Oryzias latipes: one gene and its partners. The protein of the gene in region 4 binds, or shares a complex with, the protein of the main gene of each other region. Links are inferred from orthologs where the notes say so. Each region holds a gene or a part of one and is shown on either strand. Other genes may lie near its edges. The genes, in order: exosc6, exosc2, exosc3, exosc8, exosc4 and exosc5.

Region 1 (3,284 bases), on a different chromosome or scaffold from region 4:
ATTCCGCTGCAGTTTTCGCACTAAGACCACCCTAAAACCGGGTCCTGTTCAAAAGCCGCTGGACCTGGACTGCTCAAACCTGGATTAAATTATACATTAGATACTAAAGAACACATTAAACACCGTTTCAGATTTGTGAAACCTTCCTCTGATTTGTGAAAATCTCAAATAGGTTGATTTTTATCGCATTTTACGCACTGAGTCCAGTGGACCTGGTCTAAGGTGGACTCAGTGCGTAAAATGGGATAAAAAATCAACCTATTTCACATTTTCACAAATCAGAGGAAGGTTTCACAAATCAGAAACTGGGTTTAACGTGTTCTTTACTATCTAAATTATTATTTAATCCAGGTTTGAGCAGTCCAGGTCCTGCGGTTTTTGAACAGGACCTGGTCTAAGGTGGACTCAGTGCGTAAAATGCGATAAACATCAATCTATTTCAGATTTTCACAAATCAAAGGAAGGTTTCACAAATCAGAAACTATATTTAATGTGTTCTTTAGTATCTAATGTATAATTTAATCCAGGTTTGAGCAGTCCAGGTCCAGCGGTTTTTGAACAGGACCCGGTTTTGGGTGATCTTAATGCGAAAAATGCAGCGGAATGTTTCTTTTGTGCCTTCGCGAATCGGAAGCTGTGAATCGGAAGCCAACTTCAGCGTCGTAAACCGCCATTATACTGACAGTCATCATTTCTTTCAAACTGGCCCTAAAACTATACTATATTTCGAAGCAAAGGTAAGTAAAACTATTTGGAAAACCTTTCATTCTAAATCTGACAAATCAAAATGCACTAACTGACCTGACGCTAGCAAACTGCTATGCTAGCCAGTCAAAAGCAACCGCTGAAATTTCCGTCCCTGCTAGTGAATTTGGAAGTCAACTATGAGGGGAAAACTAACCGGCGAATCAACACAGTGAGTGTCATTTACCCAAGCAAGTAGTTTGACTCACATAAGATGCTGTTATCACAAAACGAACCGGTCACAGCTCCCCAAAACACCGCTTCAGTCCACGCTGCTCGCTCAGAAGGGAAGTGCAGAGGCGATGGACACGCCCACGGACGCCACCTATTGGTTCAGATGTGCAGGAAGCCGGCGAACGCTCAATCCCATTGGTCGAGCCAAGCTGTCAGTTTTAGCCGAGCCCGCCACATTAGTGGTGCAAACTCCTCTGCTGTGGTTGATGCAATGAAAAAGACGCAGATGCCAACTAGCACGTACAATTTATTTTAGTTGTGCAACGAATAATTAATTTCTAACAAAAGTTATACACATTCGAAGCATTTCTAGCTAAAAGAAAAGGCGTAACGGAATTTTGCTTTGACTAAATTGCTAAGATTTAGCTATTGCGTGTATTTTATTTACTGTTACAAATAAAATATGTTGAAAATTAAATAATACCATCAGAATTAATTTATTTTTTATGAATAAATTCAAATTAATAAAGATGATGAAACATGACAACACTATCGGAACAAGCGGAACCGTGTTGCTGTGGGGACAGATTTATTGACGGACCGATCCCTGAACACCCGCTTCATTCGGTTCACGTGAGAAGAGATCGCCATGCCGACGGACACCAAACGTGTACGCGGGCCCGAGGTGTCTCAAAGCCCGTCTTTGTTTGACTGCAGACCCTCTGTGGTTCCCCCGTCGCATGGGGCCCGAGCGGACGGCCGCCAGCGGGACCAGGTGGACGTCCGGCCGGTGTTTGTGCGCTGCGGCCTGGTGAGTCAAGCTAAAGGTTCCGCGTACATAGAAGCTGGAGACACCAAGCTGCTGTGCAGCGTTTACGGCCCGAGAGAGACGGAGCGGAAAGATGAGACTGACATGAAATGTGGACGGTATGTAGTGGTCTTCATCCAGTTTTATAATGGAAGACTAATAGAAATATGTTTGCATTCAATGATATAACAAAGTAAAAAATAACTATGTGATAAGGCTGTAATTGGATTCTGCTAGAATTAGTAAAATAGAAAATCAGTTTAATTTTTTAAACAATACATTTAAAGTCAAAAGTTGATAAATCAACACATCTGCTTAACCAGACTGACCACAGACATGCGCTTCGCCCCGTTTTCCTGTCCGGAGAGGGGCTCCTGGATCCAGGGGAGCCAGGACAAGAACTTCTCCCTGATGCTGCAGGAGAGTCTGCAGCCGGCCTTGTGCCTTCACAAATACCCCCGCTCCCAGATTGAGGTCAACGTCATGGTCCTGGAGAACAGCGGTTCGGTTCAGGCCCACGCCATCACGTGCGCCTCCCTGGCACTGGCTGACGCGGGGATTGAAATGTACGACCTGGTGCTGGGCTGCTCCATCCGACAGGATGGCTCCTCCTACGTGGTCGACCCCACTTACTCAGAAGAGAGCAACTGGAGCAGCAGCGAACACCAAGGAGGGCTCACCGTGGCGTTTCTCCCCAGCCTGAACCAGGTTTCCGGCCTGCAGTCGGATGGAGAAATGGCTGAAGAGACTCTGACGGCAGGGATTCGGACCTGCATTGAGGGATGTTACAAACTGTACCCAGTAATCCAGCAGGCTTTGGTTAAGGCTGTGCGCAGAGCGCAACCCCCACCACCCGAAAGCTGAGAGGCAAAGTCAACACTATTTTTTGTCTGAGTCTTCAACAAGAACTTTAAAATTCAAAACAGTTTTTCACCTTGTTTCTTGATCTGAGGTGAAAGGATCCGCCAGCGTCCCCCTGATCTAAGAAACAGATTGATCCTATTTATTCATTTCTCCACCGTCTGCCTGCAGGACAAAACTTTGAGTCAGTTTGTTGATTTTTTTTTTTCCCCCCATGCCCCAAAAATCTAAATAAGGTAAACAAAGTTTTTCCTGCTCTTTATGCTATAGGGGAGAAAAAAGAAAACAAATTATGAAAAACTGAGAATGACTGGTTTAAAAAAAGAAAATGTTTTAATGCAAATGTCTGTTTTGTTATTTTAAAAATAAAAATACAGAATAAAAAATAAAAAATCCTAGTCTTTTTGTATTTTGGTTAGCATTTTATCACAGAAATGTATAATACAGAAGGTCAGATTGCATTTGTTTGCACATTTTCTTTAAAGAAAAAGTACCAAACTCCTATTTGTTCTCCAAAGTGAAACTCAGCTTGGATATTATATGGTAATGTGTCACCCGTGTTTTCATTCAGGATCTGATACTACGCTTTGAATTGCTCCAATTCAGGAAAAGTGACACAAGCTCCACTACCTCAGTATCATTTGCCCATCGCTAGTTTGTAATATTTATTCCATTTTTTCCTGTTTTACTAAATAGT
Region 2 (3,984 bases), on a different chromosome or scaffold from region 4:
AGAAACTAAATGAACCTCCCCTGATTGTGTTCGTGCAGGGACAGCTGGAGCAGCGCGTGCGTTCACTTCACTTCACGACTTACCCGGCTGAACCAGATGCTGATCTGGGTTTCTGACACCAGGGCGAAGTAAAACCTCTGAGAGCTGGGCTGGATCTGGAAAGGCTCCTCTTCGCTCCTCAGCGGACAAAGCAACCTCCGGGGCCAACCGGTTAGAAAATACATGACGGCGCTCTTTAGTTCGAGCAGGCAGCGCAGCAATCCAGATCCTCGGTAGTTGCCTCTACGGGCGACTCATAGTGCTTTCGTCGAGACAAAAACACTACTAAAGAGCCCGGTGATGGCGCTGGGCAGGTTTAATCCACAGATTCCATACAGAAATACCAAAGCAGCCGACTGAGCTCCACGGCTAGCCCCGGGCTAGCATTGGATTTTCAAACTTAAAGCTAGCGAGCGGTGCGCGGTGTCCCCGAAAACAAAAGCGGCGAGGCCCGTCGCGACACCGTGCAACGCTAAATTGTGCCCGCTGTACCAGTATGCTGGCCAATCCGCTTTGCTCCCCGAGCTTTGTCAGTTGTTACGCTGTCTGGACCAGTGGTGTTCATTAAGAGATAAGCGTCCAGTTTTTACTCCACTGAGCCTCACTGTCGCCATCTTTACAAAGAGTCTATCCATCTTAACGCTGATTGGTCAGCCGCACGAAATTTGCTTAATGTTGACATCCAACGTCACCACTCTGTTATGTGACAATGGCTGCTGCGTGACACGAGGGTGACACCTAGTGGTCAAGTGAGAAGACATCCAGAAAGAATGTATTGTCATGGAGTTTCATTAATTTCTTTAATGAAAAAAAGAAAGAATAGAAATATGGAGTCCCATACTGTTCATAATTAAATAAATAAATATTTAATTAAATAAATAAATATGACCTCATGCAAATAGCAATGTGAGCAACATGATAAAGTTACAGTATACGAAAAAAGAAACAGAACTCAGCTGATTTCTTTTTATCGAAGACCAAATGTGACATTAATGGACAATAATTTGGTGCCAAACTGCATGAAAAAGAACGGAATTTTTTTCTAATTTGGAATAAAAAATAAATATTTGTGAGGATGGATATTATTTCAAGATGTGCTGCACAAGATACACTGTAGTAGTAACTCCATACCACAAGGAGGTGCTAATGTAGCTATAACACGCTTTTAAGACGCCAAAGAAGCAAGTGGAGGAAAGTTTTGTGTTAGCATAATATGCTGTTTGGTTGGCATTTATTACAAGTTTATAGGGTAATCATTTGTTAATTTAAAAACAAAAACAAAGATTCAATAACTACGTACACCATTTTTTTTTGCATTTTTAAACTTAAATCTGACTTAAACGAGTGTGAAAGAAGCCATAACCAGAAGAGTTGCGGTAACAGCATGGCTCTTGATATGAGATTACCGACTGTGAGGAAAACGGTGTCTCTGTCAGCTTCCGCTTTCGACCGAAAGGATCTCGTTGTTCCCGGAGACATCATCACTTCGGACACAGGTTTTATGAGGTAGGTTCTGCTTGCGTTTTGGAACACGTGTTTGATACCACGCTGATGTAGTACGGTAAGCTACATGCTAAAAAGAAACTCAGAACACACCAGAACTTATTTAGATGTGTCTTTGATCTGATGGAATACTGATGAAGGATAAGAAATTACATCTTTACATGATTTTAATAAACCATAACTACAATTTGTCGTTTTCTAGGGGGCATGGCACTTATGTTGATGAAGAAAAGCTGACAGCTTCAGTTGCTGGAGAGGTGCAGAGGGTGGACAAACTCATCTGTGTCAGACCACTGAAGACCAGGTGAGTGTGAAGGACAAAAATCTTCAATGTTTATGAACAATAGAATTGGTTGGTGGATTGACCCATTCAGATCGGACTAGCCCCACTTTTGCAAACATTCTTTAAGATCATTTGTGCGTCATTTTAGATTTAATGGCGAGGTTGGAGACGTTGTGGTCGGCAGAATTACAGAGGTGAGTTATTCCAACTGTTCTCTAAAAAGGCAAAACGAGATAACAATTTTTTTTGTTGTTGGATTCATTGTATCTGTTTTTGCTAATAATCTTTTCAATCTGTTTGATTTGATGGTTATATACAGGTGCAGCAGAAACGTTGGAAGGTGGAAACCAATTCCAGACTGGACTCTGTCCTCTTGCTGTCATCAGTAAACTTGCCTGGAGGAGAGCTGGTGAGACAGAACTGTGTTGTTTAACGAGAGAGAAGCGTTACAGGATGAGTTGAACTGCATGCTCTTTTTTGTTGTTGTTTTGTTATACAGAGGAGGAGATCAGCAGAAGATGAGCTGACCATGAGAGAATATCTTCAGGAGGGTGATCTCATAAGTGTACAGAGGATTTTCTAGTCTTTTTGCCAACATTTCCCCCTCATAGTTTTTGTCACTAAAGACTACTTTGCTGTATTTTCTCACTGTTTTTAGGCAGAAGTGCAGTCTGTTTTTTCAGATGGAGCCTTGTCATTACATACTCGCAGTTTAAAATATGGAAAAGTAAGTGCACAGTGTTACTATGTTGATATCTCCTTTTGGTAAATTTTACAGAGCTGTTTCCCTGTTGTTGTTATACATGTTGAATAAATTTGTGTTTCTGGCCATGTTCACACTGCAGGCTGAATCCAATTTTTCTGCCCCTATGCGACCTGTGTCTGATCTTTTTATGACAGTCTGAGCGACACAGATCAGATCTTTTCAAATGCGACCTCCGTCTGAATGGCCAAGCCACATGTATCCGACCCGTAAGTCATTATTCTGCGTTGAAGTAGGCGGGAACAAGAACATGAACATCAACCATGCCGGACGATGCTGGTGAGACCAGTCATTGGAAGGCAAGCAAGGTCACCGATTGGATTAAAATTTGGGGTGACAGCTCTATTCAGGCCAAACTCGAGGGCTCTTATCGCAACCGGGCGGTTTTTTGAAAAAAATTCCAGCGAAATGGCCGAGCGTGGGGTTGAACCTTCCTGGCAATTACTTTTTTTTCCCCTTTCTGACCGTGGTCAGAAGCGCGGGGGACCGAAGGCGGATCCTCCTTTGGGCGTTCATTTCCCCGTTCGGACCCTCAGATTCTCTAGAGCAGTTTAATAAAGAGTCAATAGCAGCCTTTTTTTATTATCGTTGTCCTTCCTCCGTAACACACAACATGAATGCGCACAGCGCAGTAGGGAATGCTGCGCTGCACGTGCTCTCTCCTCTCTCTTACACACACACACACGTGCTCGCGCGGCCCCAGCACATACACATCCCCATTCCACCACAGTGGGTACAGACGATCCTGGCTCCAATGCCTTCTTAAAATGAGAAGATTGTAATTGTGCTGGCTCCATCTTGAAAATAAATGTAAACTGCAAAAAGAGCTCCGCTGTTGACAACACTGTAGTTGACATCCATTGCTAACGTTAGCTACTTCCGCAAACAACGAGTGATGTCGTTCCCCGTTGAGTACTCTTCTGCGCATGCGGGTCACTTCTGGGTCATTTCACGGTCACACAGGAAATCACAAAAGTTCGCATTTAATTGGAAATGTGAACAGCCTTGCAAGAACATCGGATTTTTTCTAAAAAATCAGAATTGAGCATTAAGCCCTGCAGTGTGAACGTAGCCTATAGGTACCGGTATATCATTTTTTTTCTTTTCTGGGTCTCTGTATTCTTGTTAGCTGGGTCAGGGAGTGCTGGTGCAAATTTCACCTTCTCTGATCAAGAGGCAGAAAAGTCACTTCCATAATCTTCCATGCGGTGCATCTGTTATCCTTGGCAATAACGGCTTTGTGTGGTTGTATCCCACACTGGGACAACAAGAGGAGGAAGCTGGAGGTTTCTACACCAGTCTTGAGGTAACTTTGTAGGTTTATAAATATTTTATGTTTCAAAATGATCAAAAAGTGTCATCTAAAAAGTGTTAATTGTTTTAAAAATATTTTAAC
Region 3 (3,937 bases), on a different chromosome or scaffold from region 4:
TCCTTGGAGTGACTGCACACAGCAGACTGCACACAGAGCCCCACCCACACTCACCTGGACGTTGGGTCGGTTTCGCTTGGTGGCTCCTTCAAACGCCAGGTAAGACAGAGACGCCAGCTCGCTGCCGCCAAAGTCCACCCTGAAGGTGTCTCCTGCTCGGGCCGTCACGATCCCGATCACGGTCTCCCCTTTAGTGGCGACATACTGAGGAGAACAAACCATTGACTATTCGAGAACTGGACTGAAGGACCCCTCCCTCCTCATGCTCCAAACAGGAAGAACCCGCTGGCTCCAAGAAGCCAAAATCCCATTGACATAACTTCTCACATTGAATGTGTGAAACATTTGACAGATTTTATGTAGCCTGCTTTCAAGTGATAGGGGTGTGACCTTCAAACAAGCTCACTCCTGATTGGCCACTATTTTTTATAAACCATTAGGTTTTCATCATCAGAACACAGTAGATTCATAAAGTCGTCATAAAATGTTCATATTTATTACCTTTCTATTTAGGGAAACGGGTGACGTCATATTGGCATCAGTGTTGGGAAAATGACTTCTAAAAAGTAACTGTTTACTTAGTGTTACAAAATTGTAATTAAATTACTTTACTCACCTATTTAGTACGGTAATTGCCTACCGGTTACTCCACTTTTTTTCCTCTCACATACAGATTCTCAAGGCAAAAAACAGTTTTCACAAACAAGATCCTCTTGTCATTCATATAACTTTATATTCAGAGAAATGACCTTGTGCAAATTTGAACCTGGCTCAAGACATAACCTGGTTTTATTAGAATTCAGACAACAATGTGAAAAAATACACAAAAAAGTTACAACACATGTGGTCTATAGGCCACTGCTCAAAGTGAGATGTGGAAACAAATCAGTTACGCCTATGATCACATCTGTCGAATCCACTCTTTTAAAAACACAAAGAATTATTTAATGCCTCCATGTTCATTTTCTCTGACTTAAGGTATTCCATGACAATGAGTTGTGCCTGTCTCTCTCTCTATACGTCTGGCGTTTGTGCAGTTCTGAGCAGCTGCAGGTCTACTGGACCAACACCACCCCAGCACCCACCTGCAGAGTGCATTGAGCGCCAACTCACGCTGACCAGAGACGCAGTCATGTGCAGCACAGAGAATAATTAAGTCAAAATGGGTGAAATAATATAGTAAACGCCAAGATCCGACTTTAGAGATGTTTCACTGCCAACCAACCCATCATCAGTACACGGGGCGGTTCTCTACTCTGCTGCTCACCTGCTGCTGCTCGGGGAGGACAAGCATCTCTGTTTGTTTCATCTTTGAGCCAGTAAGCCATTTGTATGGGTGACGTCACACTACGATTCTCCTAAGGCAGTGTTTTTCAACCAGTGTGCCGCGGCACACTAGTGTGCCGTGGGAGATGGTCAAGTGCGCCGTGGAGAAATTGCCCTCATTAACTGATCTAAAAACATTTTCCATCTCCAGGATTTCAGCTCTGTGTTCATCCAAACAGGCCCTGATAAAACACTGAGTAGTTAGGAATATAAAAGATCTTAAAATTACTTTTTCTTTGTGTTTATTTAATTCTATTAAAGAGATTTTGATAAAAATCACGGTACCGCGATTTAGCTGCAGCTCTAACTGTGTAAGGAAAAGTCCCGCCCCTTTAACTGTCTCCGCCAATCATTCTTGAAGGCTTAATCACATGTCATCAGTCTGACCAATCAGAAGTGCTTAAAGTCTTCACTTCCTTGTTCTTAATTCTGCTGATAAAGTCGCTCAGTTCTAACAAATATACCAGCTAAAGACGAGCTTTAGCTGGTGGTTCATCTCTTAGAAAAAAACAGCCGCAAATTCCTGCTTTTTCTGCCACAATTATCACAAAAATTCACGTGAGATTGCGGGGGGGGGGGGCGCTGTCGATCAATACAGACCATGAATTTCTGCTTTTTTTTTTTTTTTTGGATGATGGTGTGCCGCGGGATTTTTTTCAGGGTTAAAGTGTGCCGTGGCTCAAAAAAGGTTGAAAAACACTGTCCTAAGGATCAATGGAACGAACGCACGCGGACACATTTATTCACAACAAAGTACATTATTTAAGCAAACACAAGTTTGCAAAAATGAAACTTGTGTTTGCATAAATAATCTGGGTCTAAATTGAAAATACGCAGATCATGTGTGGATTTTTTTAAATTCTTGGTTAGTTGAGTGCATCGAATCAAAACCCATATCTCTGTATCAGTCCATATGTTTTAATTTGATAAATAATTAATTTAGTTTATTTTGATGTATTAGCTTGACGCGTATTTGGTTTTTATTTGATTATACTTTGTTATTTGTAACTGATATTTTTACTATTTGTTATATAAAGCACTTGAGGTGGATTTCATCAGGAAGTGCTATCAATAAAGTTGTGTTTGAATGCTGGTTGTGACCGGACCGCTTCACATTAATGCTCTAAACACGTCTCTGGACCGCTGAACGCAGTTTGTTGGGATCTCAGAACCTTTGGTTCGGACCGGTCCGCTCTTACCCGCTTCTGCTGGGAATCGATCCAGAAGGTGAGCGGCGGTTTGTGCCGCAGCACGCCGCTCTTCATCACCACCAGGCGGTCTCCGCTCCGCCGCAGCCCTGGTCCACACACCGCGCGCTCCGGCTTCGCGCTCTCCGACAGAGAGATCGTTTCCTCTGCACCAAAGCAGAACTCGTCCCCCGGAACCAGAACCTGTCCAACTTTCTCCTTCAGAACGGCGAACATGCCTCCTGTCGTGCTCATGGTCGTCTTCTTCTTTTTGTTGTTTATATCAGATCCTTACTTTGCGCCCCCTGGTGACCAGGAGGAACAATAGCGCTTTCTAAATTATAAGAATTTTCCTGTTTAAAGGACACACCTTTCAAAACGTTTTGGATAAATCCAGGTCTCACCAAATTTCCTCTAAAATAATCGTCTTTGAAAAAAGGTAAAATAATTTTCTACAGAAACAAAAAGTAGTATAAAAATGTCTCAATAGTGTAACACACAGACACACCCACACACACGTACACAACTCAAACGATTTAGGAGCACTAAAAAAGACATGCTATGCCTGAACAAATGAAATATTCTTTTGAAATGCTTCATTCTTTACATATTTGCATGTCCTGACAACACAATAAAATAAAAATAGTAATGGAAATTAAAACTATTCGGCTATGGATGTCTGGATGTGTGAACATTACATGCTGATCCAACTTCAATGTAATTTCTTTGAAACAAGTCAAAATGAGGCTCAGTAGTGGGCGTGGCCTCCACATGCCCATATGATTCCCCTGCAATGCCTGGGTACGCTTCTGATGAGGCAGCGGGTGGTCCTCCAAGGGATCTTCTCTGACGCCTGGACCAAAGCATCTGCTAACTCCTGGACAGTCTGGGGTGCAACCAGGAGTTAGTGGATGGACGAGACATGATGTCCCCGATGTGCTCAATTGCATTCAGGTCTGGAAAGTGTGCGGGCCAGTCCATGACATCATTAGCTTCGTCTGGCAGAAACTGCTGACACTCCAGCCACATGAGGCCTAGCACTGTCTTACTTTAGGAGGAACCCAGGGCCAATCGCACCAACATGCGGTCTCACAAGGGGTCAGAGAATCTCATCTCAGTACCTAATGACAGTCAGGCTACCTCTGGTGAGCACATGGAGGGCTGTGTGGCACTCCAAAGAAATGCCGCCCCAAACCATACCTGACCCATTGCCAAAGCGCTCATGTTGGACAATATTGCAGGCAGCAGAGCATTCTCCACCGCATCTCCAGACTGTGTCAACAGTGACTATGCCAAGCTTGGTGTTCTACAGCAAATGTCAAATGTCTCGCACGGTTTTGGGCTGTCAACACAACTCCCACCTGGCGACCTCATGGAGTCTGTTTCTACCATTCTGAGCAGACGTGCACATTTGTGGTCAACTG
Region 4 (3,961 bases):
AGGTTTCTGAATATTGAGAAATAATTTTTTAAGCAGTCTTTGTCAGCAGTTTTATTGTTATTAAAAAAAAAAGAACATATATATTGACAGTGAAAATACAGCTTTTAGATAAAAGTCTTGGTCTGGGTGTCTTTATTGTGCTGCCTTCACGCTGTTTAGAACTTTCTCGATGAGTTTCTGGATCTCTCTTTGTCGTGCTGTTGCTCGGTTGATGCAAGTTTGGAGCTTTTCTGCTGACAGGGACGTCCCACCTGAGGCGCAAAGAACCGGGTTTCAGCTCCGTATGATTGGAGTTATTGTGTTGATCGCCGGAAGCGCACTGCACGGCCTGTCTGACCTGGTTTGTGTAGAGAGCAGAGTCGTTCCTCCTCATCTGTGACCACGCTGAGCCGCGATGTGGACAGACTCTCCTCATCAGCGGTGGGATCTACAATCAGGATGGAGCTGCACAAAGAGCACGCTTGGTTTGTACACATGCTTTCAACAAACCCAGAAAATGCAACAATATCTAAAACGTACTCCTGGAAGATACAAAACGAGGTGCCGACTGGATGTTTGTGAACCGGCAGCTCGTGTCGCTCTTTCAAATCTATCTCTGGTTTGCATGTCGCTTTGTTGACGGTGACCTTTGGGAGACGAGCTGTGGGAAGTGAAAAATGCAAAATCAGCCTGTTGATAGACTCCTTTCGGGGCAATTTTCAATTTTAAAACACGGATTAGTTGGTTAAAATGTACAGAATAACTTTAATTATTTTTTTTTTTTTTTTACTGAAACAATGACGTACTGTTCTTCAGTGCAGCCAGCAGAGCAATGATGCACGCATCCAGAATGTTTCCATCATAATCCAGACACATGATGTCACAGTACAGCACCCAGCAAAGCTGCAAAGAGGATAAATAGACTCACCGCTAGTGAACCAACAGTGAAAACAAACGGCATCAGTCTGGATTTACCTTTCCTCTGTCGATGCACAAGTCCTCTGGTTTGATTATTTCAGAGCTGCAAAGGTGGATGGAAGTTGGTGAAAACCATTGGGAGAAATGCAGATAAACTGATGAGAGTAAAGAGATTGTAGTGTTTTTAATTCTGACAAACCTTTCGATGACATCAGCGATAAACTGGCTGGAAGCTTGGGCCTGTTCTCCTGGCGGGCCTGGCCGAAATCGCGAGGAACAGAGGGGTGGTAGGTCTACATTGGGGACTATAAATAACAGGAAAAGTCCAATGATTGGGATTATTTTTCCACTTAAAAACTTGTGCTTTTCAGTGACAACCCTTGAAGCTAAAAATAGAACAAACTCGTATCCATCATGGATAATCCTGAGCATCCTCTGCCTGCCGTACTGGATGGACAGTTGAGTGCCTTTCCAAGTGCTGCTACGATGACTGCTAAAGGAGCTCATTCCTGTTCCACGACATAGGACTGTTTAACTCATCTTTGTGCCAGAGATACGCTGCATTCATCATTGATTTTTGATAGTTGCTTCTCTGTACAAGCTAAGGTCTGCACACTACTGCTACAAATTTAACAAGTTGGCATCGATAAAGTATCTTTAACTATTTTTATCTATAAAAACTTACCAATATATCCTTTACCAGGAGCTTCCACTGTAGGGTTTGCCAATTCCTGCAGAATAGATCAATGTATGACACAGGAAACAACTTGCTAAATGTACAAACACTGAAAGAAGTGGTGGGGGGTTAAGAAATATTCACATAGATCTGTTTTATTTTTTAACTGTACACCTTTTAAAACAAAGGCATCTGGAATAAATTATTAAGAGTGAGTTTCAGTGTAATAACATGTTAACACACAGCTTTGATGCCACAGATGACTGTTGTGCTTCCCAGCTTCACCAATGCAGAGCCGTCTGCCGTGGATATGGACCCTGAACACAAACCCAAAAGAGAAAAGTGCTCAATGATTGTTGTTTGCTTGTATCATAAACACTGCAACTTTGTGGTGCTTCAATTCACCTATATTCAATGTCGTGGTTCTGAATTCAGACAGCTCGCGTCCATCTGGTCGACAGTTCTCTTTCTATGGGGAAAATAAATAAAGTTTTAGATTCAAATTGATATGAGTGTAACATTACAGCGTTACAGTAAAGTTGAAATATTAATTTCTGGAAAGTTCTTAATTCATAACAGCAGATTTTTAAAAAGCAAACCATTTAATACATTTCATTAAGAGATTTGTTTATGTTTCAACTCCCTGAAATTAATGAAAAACAAAAACGCAATAAAACTGTCCATTTTTATTGAAGATCACATGTTGTATGGCAATCCCTAGTATTGTGAACTACAATTTTAACGTTTTTTTCCTTTTTATTTCTTTCTGTTGTAGTTATGTGAATGTGTGTGTGTGCCATATTTTGACAATCTAATAAAAAAATACATAAATAAAAAATTGGACAAACCAGAAAGCTCATATGATATTCCAGAGGTTCAGCGGTCCTAAACAGTCATGAGGGAAGACAGAAAAGGTAAATGCATGTACAAAATCACGTACGTTTAGTGTTATGTTGATAAAATAAAAAATAAATTCTTAGCGGCAATAAATAGAAACCCAATTTACTAACGGACATAACCTAGACTTTGTGATTTCTCCACTTTGATTTAAAGTACAGCAAATAATTCATTTTCTTTATGTAAAGTTAAAAAGTTAATTTAAACGAAAAAAACGCCGTAAATTACATAAAACCTGAACAACTTTCAGATACTGACTTGAATCCAGCCGCCATGATGTTTTGGTACAACACGTGGGTTTGTGCTACGGCAGCCGCAATGGGGAAAAAACCTCGTCCATGCTGTGCTGAACCTGAACACTTTTTTCTTCTTCTTCTTTTAATTTAGGGACGATAAAGATCCGCTTTTTACTGTATTATTTTTTTGGCGTACCCAAATCCAATTTCCAAAAATATAAGTAACTAATAAAGAAAGTGCTACTTTAAGCTTTTAATAATTTACCATTCATGTTTTATTGTTTTTTGTTTTTTTTCTTCCAGATTTTCCTTCAAGTTTTAAACTGTTCTCGTATTTGGGGATTTATTTATTTCATTACTACTGTCTTGTTGATTTTGTGTCATCTTAAAAAGATATTAATATAAATATTATTTCTATTATATTCATTTTGTTAACACCTGTATTAATTTGGTTTTAAACTACATTAAACCATAAAGAAATGATAAAACTGCATTAACCCTTTTTTACAGGCTTGACAATTTTTAATCTAATTATTTTTCTTTTTCAGTTTTTAGTTATAGTTGTTGGTTAGTCTTTTCTTTTTTTGTCTTTCAGACTTTGACATTGCTGCTTCAAACGTTAGGGTTAGCAATGATCATAAAATATATGCATGAAAAACAAAACCTGTTGTTTGGTTGTTCAAACAAACAAACTAAAAACCTGCTAGTGTCAGTACCACCCCACGCCTGTAAGTGGCAGTATGCATTTCTCGCAGCCTGTCATGTGGAGTTCTGCTTCAAACTGATGATGTGTCGAGGAGTAAAATTTACTTCCGTGTTGCTTTTGTGTACAGCTCTGATTGGAAGTGGAGCTTGAAAGCGTTATGGGCTCATAGAGATTCAGTGTTTATATTTCATATATTTTCGTTTACACCTTTGTTATAAGTTAGAGGGTTGGGATACGGAACGGGACAAAGAAGAAAAGCTAGCTACAGCCAGCCAGGTGTAGGTGTTAGTTAGGAGCTGTAGGGCGACTTATGGAAACATGATGGACTTTATCTGTGAAATTATTCAAGTTCTCGTCGCATTAGCGGCTCTTGGTTTCATTGTGGTAAGTGTATGGATAGTTTTAACATTGTTAGTAATGTAACTAACTTCTTAGCACGTGTAAGATAGCGATTTTCACATGTATGTACTAGTACTCCATGGTTTCTGTGTGTGTGTGTGTGGGTGTGTGTGTATGTATGCATGATGGCTGCATTTTCTTTTATTTAAA
Region 5 (3,447 bases), on a different chromosome or scaffold from region 4:
CTTTAAAAAGTAAGTTACATTAATACCAATTTTGTTTCAGCAGGTAAAGAAAATGATAGATTATTCAGCCTCAACGGACTGAAACTCTTACAAAACATGTATTGTATTGTGACATAAAAATTACTTTTACAACAAACAAAAGCAAAAGCAGAATAGCCTGTCTGCAAAACAAATCAAAGAAAATTAATCTAAAAAAAAAAGACTAAACACATGAACAGAGCATTTCATTCAGGAATAAAAAGTATTGTTTTGGTGAAAATTTGTAAGATATCAACACAGCTAAATAAATTGGATATAAGAATTATCTAATTTTTCACAAATTGTTTACTCTTACGGATGTGTGGTTTAAAATAAAGGTTCTTATTGTATCAGTCTGAAAACAAAGCTTTATTATCTGTTTATATATAAAATGCTGATGTTGCTGTTTCAGTTGATCACATTGATTTTTGCATCAAAAACAGGTCAGTTTTCAGCTAATAAAACAAATGCAAATACAAAGAAACGATATACATTCACATTTATTCTTTATGCACAAATATACTTAATAAAATGTTAAGAATGACGACAAAATAAGTGTTGATCCCAGGAAACCATTTGTTTACTCTTTCCTTCACCATTATTCTCTGAGCGTAGAACCTTCTTGGAGATGTTGCCTGACCACCTGGTCCAGGACTTTGCTCACACCTTTACAAGCGGTCATTGCCGCCTCAATCAGAGTGTCGAGGTGATCCTGATGCAGTCTGGCATCCATCTGGACCAGAGCGATCTGCCCTCCGCGGGGCAGAAGCGCCAAAGCCAGAGAGCTCACTCCTCCGCTCTCCTCTGCGTAGCAAAGATCGGCAAGAGAGGTTTCATCCACGAAGCCCACTGTGCAGGCGCACACATAGTCCCTCATCGGTATCCCTGCGTCGATCACTGCCAGTGTGGCGGCGTTCACACAAACGCTGTAGTTCCCCCCGTCGGACTGAAGAATCTTGAATGATGAAAACGTTCTTAAAACAATGACGAAAACAGATGCTATGAAGTAGAGCGCAGTATACTATAAATCTAAGGCCAACCTTGACATAGATGTCTATCTGGGAGCGTGGGTAGAGCTGGGTCAGCACGGCAGCTTCAAACGTTTGCTTGAGGTGAAGGCTCATTTCTGTGGACTTGCGGTCTCCGTGCGGTCTCCTCTTCCTCTCCGCCGTGCTGAAGGTGGCCATGCTGTACTGGCAGTTGATAATGGCTCTGTCATGAAGAGCCCGACTACGAGCACCTCGAATCTGAATGGGAAACAGGAAGTAAGCATAGGAGAACCATAAAAAAGGTCTGACATTTTTCACAGGGCGGCATACATCTGTCCTTTGAGTAAAACAGCTTTTTAATCCATCATCAGAGGTAAACCAGACAATAAAAACGCCAGACATGGGAGAGTTTGAGGTCAACGGCACAGATGAGCAAAAACAACATCTCAGGTTTTCCATCAGAAATATCGATGTTCTACAAGATTTAGGAAAGACTTTCAGGACAGAAAAGATAACCGTGAAACATTTTGGGTGATGTGCCTCGCATCACTCTAGTGTAAAACATTGCACAAACAGTCAAACATGGTGGTAATGGTGTCATGGTAAGGGGCTGTTATATTTGGGGCTTGGAATACTTTTGGTAAATGAATAAATTAACCAACAAATCCTCAAATTAACTTGGATTTCTCAGCAAGTCAAAGATTCAAAAGCAGTAAGTTTACCTCAGAATAGCATAACAAGTTCAAAAACTCTTGAATGCAGTTGTTAGTAAGTACTGTGTGACCGAGCCAGATAAGTAAACATTTTGTGTTACTGATACAATAAAATGCTTTGAAGGAAACGTATTATACTAAAATCATTACATTAATGTAAAATATCCCTTTAAATCTGACACATTACATAGAAATATCTTAATCCTTCATTAAACGCAGTTTGCACCGTTTCTTTGGCTGCCATGAACAGACTGGTGGTGTTGTTTTTACGTCACTTCTCCACGCGCGCGCGCCACTCACTTCATGCGGGCCGTAAACCACCGCCAGAGCTTTGGTGTTTCCTTGCTCCAGATACGCGGAACCGTCGGCCTGAGCGAACACCCCCATGCGGGCCTGGACTTTGCGCAGCTCGGTAGCTTTTCTTCCATCCAACCGGTATCCTTGATCAGACAGCAGCTCCAGACCCGCCATTTTCCCTAGCTTAACTACACGACAACACACGTGTCTACTGATGTACTACATTAACCATCATCCTCTTCGAGCAGTTACAGCAACGTCGGAAGAAAGTGTCGCAAAAAAGATTTCCATATTTATTTTACTTAGATGGTTTAGTAACAACTTCTTACTGGAAAAGTAGCCTAACGAAACATTTAGAAAGCCTTTTTTCTTATTTTATATTATTTTTAAATCTAACTGATACGTCAGAACAAAAGAAGTAGATAAATGCGGAACTACTAGTACGCGAGTCAAAACTAATTAATAAAATAAATTAAAATCAGGAGCTGAGAAATTACACACGGCATGCAGTTTTTACATTTAAGAATTCTGACTTTAATCTCACGACTCCGATTTTTAATTTAAAATTACAAGATAAAATAAGACTTTAAGCATTTTAAGTTTTAGGAATTCAGATTTATAAATATTTTCAACACAATAAACACTTCATTTAATGTCAGAGTATTGACATAATCTGATAAAGATTAATCATGATTTTAATAACTATTGTTTTTTCTTGGGAATGTCAATTTTAAAATACTGTCTTTAAATATAGAATTTTGATATTAGAGTACAGCAACATTTTCTGAAATTACTATAAGAATTCTTTAAAGGACACCTGCAGATTTTCTCATTTTCTTTTATTTTATTAATTTTTGCCCCTGACATCTTGACAAGTTTTACAGGCGCTGCAGTTTGTTTTATCTTCTGTCTGAAATCAGAACCCAAGTCAAAGTATATTTATTTTTCCAAAACATCTTGGTTTTCAAATTTTAAAAAGTAAATCCAGTGTTAATCTTTTTAAATAAAATGTTTTAGCATTTTTGTAAATTATACAGAAGATATATTTTCATTTCTGATGTTAAAAAGGATTCAATTCTATTGTCATTTATTTTTCTAGTTTAATTTTAATATTTTTGAGCGCCAATCGTTCGTGATCATTTTAAATCAGATCAACATCTTTCACTTTTTCATATTTAAAAAAAAATTTGTGTTAAAGCATTTGATAATTTACAAATATGAAGTAGACTTACCTTGTAATGCCATATTTAAAATAAGTTTTTTGTGTGTTTTTAAATTGATTACAGAGTAAAGCTTTTCACCTTTTAAAACGTGTTTAAATTGACTACATTTTGGCCTGCTTTGTTAATATTTCAGTCACACAAACTGCCTGCCAGCATTTCACTTTAAAGCTTTTATCAGATCTCAGACGACATTCCAGCCTCATCTTC
Region 6 (4,145 bases), on a different chromosome or scaffold from region 4:
CTGGCTCATGTTCACTGTCGCACAGCAGCACGAGGAGACAAAGGTGACTGGAGATTGGGGCAACCACTTTCTCCACTGCTGCAGTTTTGATAAAACTTTGATCCAGACATGAAGGCATAGTTTCATTTATCGGTGAATTCTTCCCTCTGCGAAAGAATTAGCTGTGCTGCATGTATTATTTATCATGCTACACAAAGTGCCATATGGCAGTTCCCCATAGCAACTGTTGTCACAACGTTATTTAGAATTAATAACATATAAATCATCATTTCTGACATTATTCATTGATTATTGACTGCAGTGGTGGTTCTGCACTAACTTACTCCCAGGGAGAGTAACTCCCCAGTGCAATTTGACGTTCTTTTGTGTTCCCTATTTTTATTTGGCCATTTTACACAAAAGATGCGTGAATTTTGTGGGCTCGTATTACGGGGGTGTCAAACTCACTCACACAGGGGGCCTAAACAGAAAACATGCTTTAAGTTGGGGGCCCAACAACATTTATTTACCAAACTAAAGCTACACTTTAAAAAACAAAACAAAAAATACTTTTAAACCTTTATAACAGAGGTTTTTTAACATAAAAATGAATAAAAACAGACAGTATTGTTAATCCAGAATAAATCAAGTTAAACCGTTAATAACGGTGCTCTCCATAAAAATATATTCAGTCAAAATTATACAAATATGAACATGCTGCAGAACAAAATAAACAAAGTCTGGAAATATTTAATTCAAATTATTCCGTTTTATTTGCTGTTTTGTCAAATTTTTTGTCAGCAAGTAAGTTCATTTCTGCTTGCTGTGTGACGTGCTGTGTGTGTCTTTGTGAAACGTATCAAAGGGATTTGATTTTTTTTTAAACTGCTATTATGAAAACCATTTATAGGTCTTATAAAACATTAAAAACTAAATCATATAACTCCTCACTGGAATTAATCAAAGTTTATTTTGGCATTTTCCTAATTTTGTGCAACACCAACAGTAAAAATTCTCCAAAAAGCCTTAATTCATTCATTAACAAATGATCCATTGTTTATGTCTAATCTCAAAAAGTGCAGCTGTTTTACTGCCTGCATTACCTGCTGTCTTTATGTCAAATACTGACACCAATTAAATGACAGGCATACGTAAAAAATACATTTTATATGGAAAATAAAGACACGTAATAAAAGTGTCCAACAACAACAATAGCAATAATCATAATAATAATAATAATAATGTTAATAATATATTTTTTAAACTACTTACTTTGTTGTTGACTTTCTGACTGTTTTTTATTGAACACAAAATTTAAAACACAACATTGGTTTTGATGCAGAGCCCCTTCGCGTCGGTAAATAGATGACGTCATCGTCCAGCGACGCATCCCCTTCCGTGTTGGCAACGTGATGGAGGTTTCTGCTCCTTCAAATGTTTCTCTCCGAGAGTTTGGCTGCGAGCAGAGTTTACTTTCTCGGCCGGATGGATCTGCGTCTTTCGTTCAAGGTAACAGCTGAAGGAAAATGTTGACTTTTTTCTTTAAGAATATGAGTACAACTCCCGATTCCGCCCAAAGAATTATGGACAAACTTATTATTTCAGAGAAATAATTTGACTCTCGACTGCTGGCAAACGATCTTTAAATGAGTTTTAAGCTAAGAATGTCCTAAAGTACTTTTTGTATTTGCTTTATTTTGGTTTTGCATTAGTTTTAGCTCTTGGTAAATGTTGTAAAATTGTTAATATTCAAGAACAAAAATGAGCAGCTAAATAATAACTAAATATTTTTACGAACTTATCTTTTCACATTTAGTTTTTTGTAATCAAAAGTCAACTGCTGTTAAACCATTAAGAAGCCAAACATTTGAAAAATAATTTCTAGTCATTTTTCTATAAATAAAGATGTTGAAATGTTGGATTCATCTGTTTTACTTTCTGTGTTCAGATCAGCTCTCTCAAATTTAAATATTTATTTCTTGGTTTACTCATCCTCTTTTTTTCATTCCCCAAATCATCTTTGAATATTTGTATCCTAGTGGTCATTGTGAACTGTTTACATCGCCGGCATCGGACTGTATAGTCTGGGGTCTTGGAGCAACATTTTTTCAAAGATTTTCTAATAATTTCCCTATAAAAGTTTTTTTTTGGGGTAATGCTTTAAATTATTTTTTTAATATGACCCCATCTTCTTTTTTATTCTTTTTTTTCAAGATATTGTTTAATATAGTGTATGGGATAGGCTCCAGCAGGCCTGTGACCCTGAAAGAGACAAAACGGGTTTAGAAGATGAATGAATTATATACTATGTAATAATTCTACAGTAAACCTGAAACTGAACCAAAACCACCACTCTAAGCAGCAGATTTGGTCATGCATTTACTGCAAGATTTACACTGTTTTTATGTTTTATAGCCAAGATCAAAGTTTACAGACACAATAAGAATGTAGAAATCACATCATTGTTTCAGGTTTGTCCTCTATTTTAATAGAACTTTGATCTTTGTGTTGTTTTTGTGTCTCTGGAGGGGACACGAGTGTGATGGCTGGAGTTTATGGACCTGCTGAAGTAAAGGTCAGTAAGGAGATCTACGACCGAGCAACTCTGGAGGTGCTGGTTCAGCCCAAAGTTGGTCTGCCGAGTAAGTTCTGCTGCATGTCCTGGAAAAGTCAGATGCTGTCACGTGTGTCTGGTTTTTCTGAAACCAATTCAATCCTTTTTGTTTTTAATCTGTTGTAGAAAAAAAGCAAAAACAACTACTAATCCTTGTTTTTGTTGCTCTAAAATGAATAAATCCAGCTTTAAAGAAGGAAGTCTGTTAAATGTAGAGACAATTATAATCACTTTCAATGGATTCAAATGTTTATATGCAAATATCCTCTTAAGCCTGGTTTCATTCATGTCTTTGGGTTGAATGGAAATCACAGATGCTGTTTTATTTCTACTGAATCACAGTAAAAAGATGAACTTCCTCAGGTCTCATGTGGGTTTTAGTTTCATCTGAAGGCTCACTCGTATCTCAACAGTTCTGCAATTTATAAATAAGCATTAAGACAAAGGTCCGATCAAGGTATTAAAGTCTTTCTTTAGGAATGTTTTGTGCAACTGATTTATAGGATTACGCCATAAGGGGGAGCCAGTGGATTCCTTATCAGCTTTGAACTCATATCCCATCATGCCTCTGTTTTCCAGGTGTGAGGGAGCGCTCGCAGGAGCAGTGTGTGCGTGAAACCTGCGAGGAGGCGCTGCTGCTCACCCTCCACCCTCGATCTTCGCTCACGCTGGTCCTCCAGGTGCTGCACGACGACGGCTCTGTATCCTTTACTAAACCCGACCTCTGAACCCGCGGGGGGCGTGGCCTAGCACCTGCCGAGTCGTCTTCCTTACCTGCTCTGCAGCTCCTGTCCTGCTGCCTGAATGCAGCCTGCATGGCCCTCATGGACGCAGGTCTGCCGATGAGCTGCCTCTTCTGCGGCGTGACCTGCGCCATCAGCGCATACGGGCAGATCATCACTGACCCCACCTCAGCTCAGGAAAAGGTCAACCAAAGATGCTGACACTAACCTGAAAATCTTCATTTTTGCTGCTTTGAATGTAGAAATATAATCAGAAAGCAAGTTTAACAAAAAGTTCTCAATTTATGGTTTAATTTTCATGAAAAAAAGTCACATTTCATAGAATCCCTAAAACATGGATGTCGGTTTTCATCAGATCACACCCCTGACCTAACTTTACTGGTGAAACAAAAATCCAGCTGTGTAGTTTAGATCCAGATTCCAGCTCAGGGGAGGATAAACAAATTTAAAGGCTAATAAAAATTCTAACTTTGCTAAAAAAAAATGGGTTCATTTTCCACCAAAACTATTTTTTTTTTATTTCATAAAAATGCAGTTTTTCTTTAGTGTGTCACCTTCAGTTCATCCTTTTGTCTCAGTGTTTCAGTTCTAAAACAGTTTGCCTTTAAAATTGGTTGTCTGCCCGTCTGGCACTAAAGTCCTATTTTAATTTCTTTTCAAAGGAGAGTCGAGCTTTGATGACTTTTGCCATCGACAGTAAAGAACGTAAAGTAATGATGTCATCCACCAAAGGATCCTTTTCCGTTCATGAGGTCCGTCCAGCCGTTTTTCCATCATCTTCCGCTAAGCTCTCATTTCAATCCTCTCAG

What was found.
Region 1: exosc8 (region 4) and exosc6 share a complex: the UniProt entries of both Homo sapiens proteins name them as parts of the RNA exosome core complex. The link is inferred for Oryzias latipes from reciprocal best matches to the Homo sapiens genes EXOSC8 and EXOSC6.
Region 2: exosc8 (region 4) and exosc2 share a complex: the UniProt entries of both Homo sapiens proteins name them as parts of the RNA exosome core complex. The link is inferred for Oryzias latipes from reciprocal best matches to the Homo sapiens genes EXOSC8 and EXOSC2.
Region 3: exosc8 (region 4) and exosc3 share a complex: the UniProt entries of both Homo sapiens proteins name them as parts of the RNA exosome core complex. The link is inferred for Oryzias latipes from reciprocal best matches to the Homo sapiens genes EXOSC8 and EXOSC3.
Region 5: exosc8 (region 4) and exosc4 share a complex: the UniProt entries of both Homo sapiens proteins name them as parts of the RNA exosome core complex. The link is inferred for Oryzias latipes from reciprocal best matches to the Homo sapiens genes EXOSC8 and EXOSC4.
Region 6: exosc8 (region 4) and exosc5 share a complex: the UniProt entries of both Homo sapiens proteins name them as parts of the RNA exosome core complex. The link is inferred for Oryzias latipes from reciprocal best matches to the Homo sapiens genes EXOSC8 and EXOSC5.

Annotation. Positions count from the first base shown.
Region 1 is NC_019864.2:25,018,398-25,021,681, reverse strand, and holds exosc6 (exosome complex component MTR3), read left to right. Parts: upstream 1-1,188; 5' UTR 1,189-1,567; coding exon 1,568-1,845; intron 1,846-2,049; coding exon 2,050-2,590; 3' UTR 2,591-2,784; downstream 2,785-3,284. UniProt on the Homo sapiens protein: Non-catalytic component of the RNA exosome complex which has 3'->5' exoribonuclease activity and participates in a multitude of cellular RNA processing and degradation events.
Region 2 is NC_019870.2:12,830,056-12,834,039, reverse strand, and holds the start of exosc2 (exosome complex component RRP4), read left to right. Parts: upstream 1-1,184; 5' UTR 1,185-1,423; coding exon 1,424-1,545; intron 1,546-1,744; coding exon 1,745-1,846; intron 1,847-1,973; coding exon 1,974-2,019; intron 2,020-2,144; coding exon 2,145-2,234; intron 2,235-2,324; coding exon 2,325-2,390; intron 2,391-2,483; coding exon 2,484-2,552; intron 2,553-3,717; coding exon 3,718-3,894; intron 3,895-3,984. Other genes in the region: ric1 (RAB6A-GEF complex partner protein 1), read right to left, coding at 84-224. UniProt on the Homo sapiens protein: Non-catalytic component of the RNA exosome complex which has 3'->5' exoribonuclease activity and participates in a multitude of cellular RNA processing and degradation events.
Region 3 is NC_019868.2:3,163,742-3,167,678, reverse strand, and holds the start of exosc3 (exosome complex component RRP40), read right to left. Parts: upstream 2,801-3,937; 5' UTR 2,769-2,800; coding exon 2,526-2,768; intron 205-2,525; coding exon 55-204; intron 1-54. UniProt on the Homo sapiens protein: Non-catalytic component of the RNA exosome complex which has 3'->5' exoribonuclease activity and participates in a multitude of cellular RNA processing and degradation events.
Region 4 is NC_019872.2:10,272,857-10,276,817, reverse strand, and holds exosc8 (exosome complex component RRP43), read right to left. Parts: upstream 2,801-3,961; 5' UTR 2,746-2,800; coding exon 2,729-2,745; intron 2,459-2,728; coding exon 2,422-2,458; intron 2,043-2,421; coding exon 1,979-2,042; intron 1,891-1,978; coding exon 1,817-1,890; intron 1,629-1,816; coding exon 1,583-1,628; intron 1,203-1,582; coding exon 1,097-1,202; intron 1,001-1,096; coding exon 955-1,000; intron 883-954; coding exon 786-882; intron 641-785; coding exon 520-640; intron 445-519; coding exon 338-444; intron 252-337; coding exon 133-251; 3' UTR 37-132; downstream 1-36. Other genes in the region: alg5 (dolichyl-phosphate beta-glucosyltransferase), read left to right, coding at 3,731-3,796. UniProt on the Homo sapiens protein: Non-catalytic component of the RNA exosome complex which has 3'->5' exoribonuclease activity and participates in a multitude of cellular RNA processing and degradation events.
Region 5 is NC_019875.2:26,759,988-26,763,434, forward strand, and holds exosc4 (exosome complex component RRP41), read right to left. Parts: upstream 2,256-3,447; 5' UTR 2,192-2,255; coding exon 2,021-2,191; intron 1,266-2,020; coding exon 1,059-1,265; intron 974-1,058; coding exon 617-973; 3' UTR 501-616; downstream 1-500. UniProt on the Homo sapiens protein: Non-catalytic component of the RNA exosome complex which has 3'->5' exoribonuclease activity and participates in a multitude of cellular RNA processing and degradation events.
Region 6 is NC_019873.2:26,312,798-26,316,942, reverse strand, and holds the start of exosc5 (exosome complex component RRP46), read left to right. Parts: upstream 1-1,345; 5' UTR 1,346-1,391; coding exon 1,392-1,488; intron 1,489-2,507; coding exon 2,508-2,621; intron 2,622-3,172; coding exon 3,173-3,294; intron 3,295-3,378; coding exon 3,379-3,519; intron 3,520-3,998; coding exon 3,999-4,088; intron 4,089-4,145. Other genes in the region: catenin alpha-1-like, read right to left, coding at 1-118. UniProt on the Homo sapiens protein: Non-catalytic component of the RNA exosome complex which has 3'->5' exoribonuclease activity and participates in a multitude of cellular RNA processing and degradation events.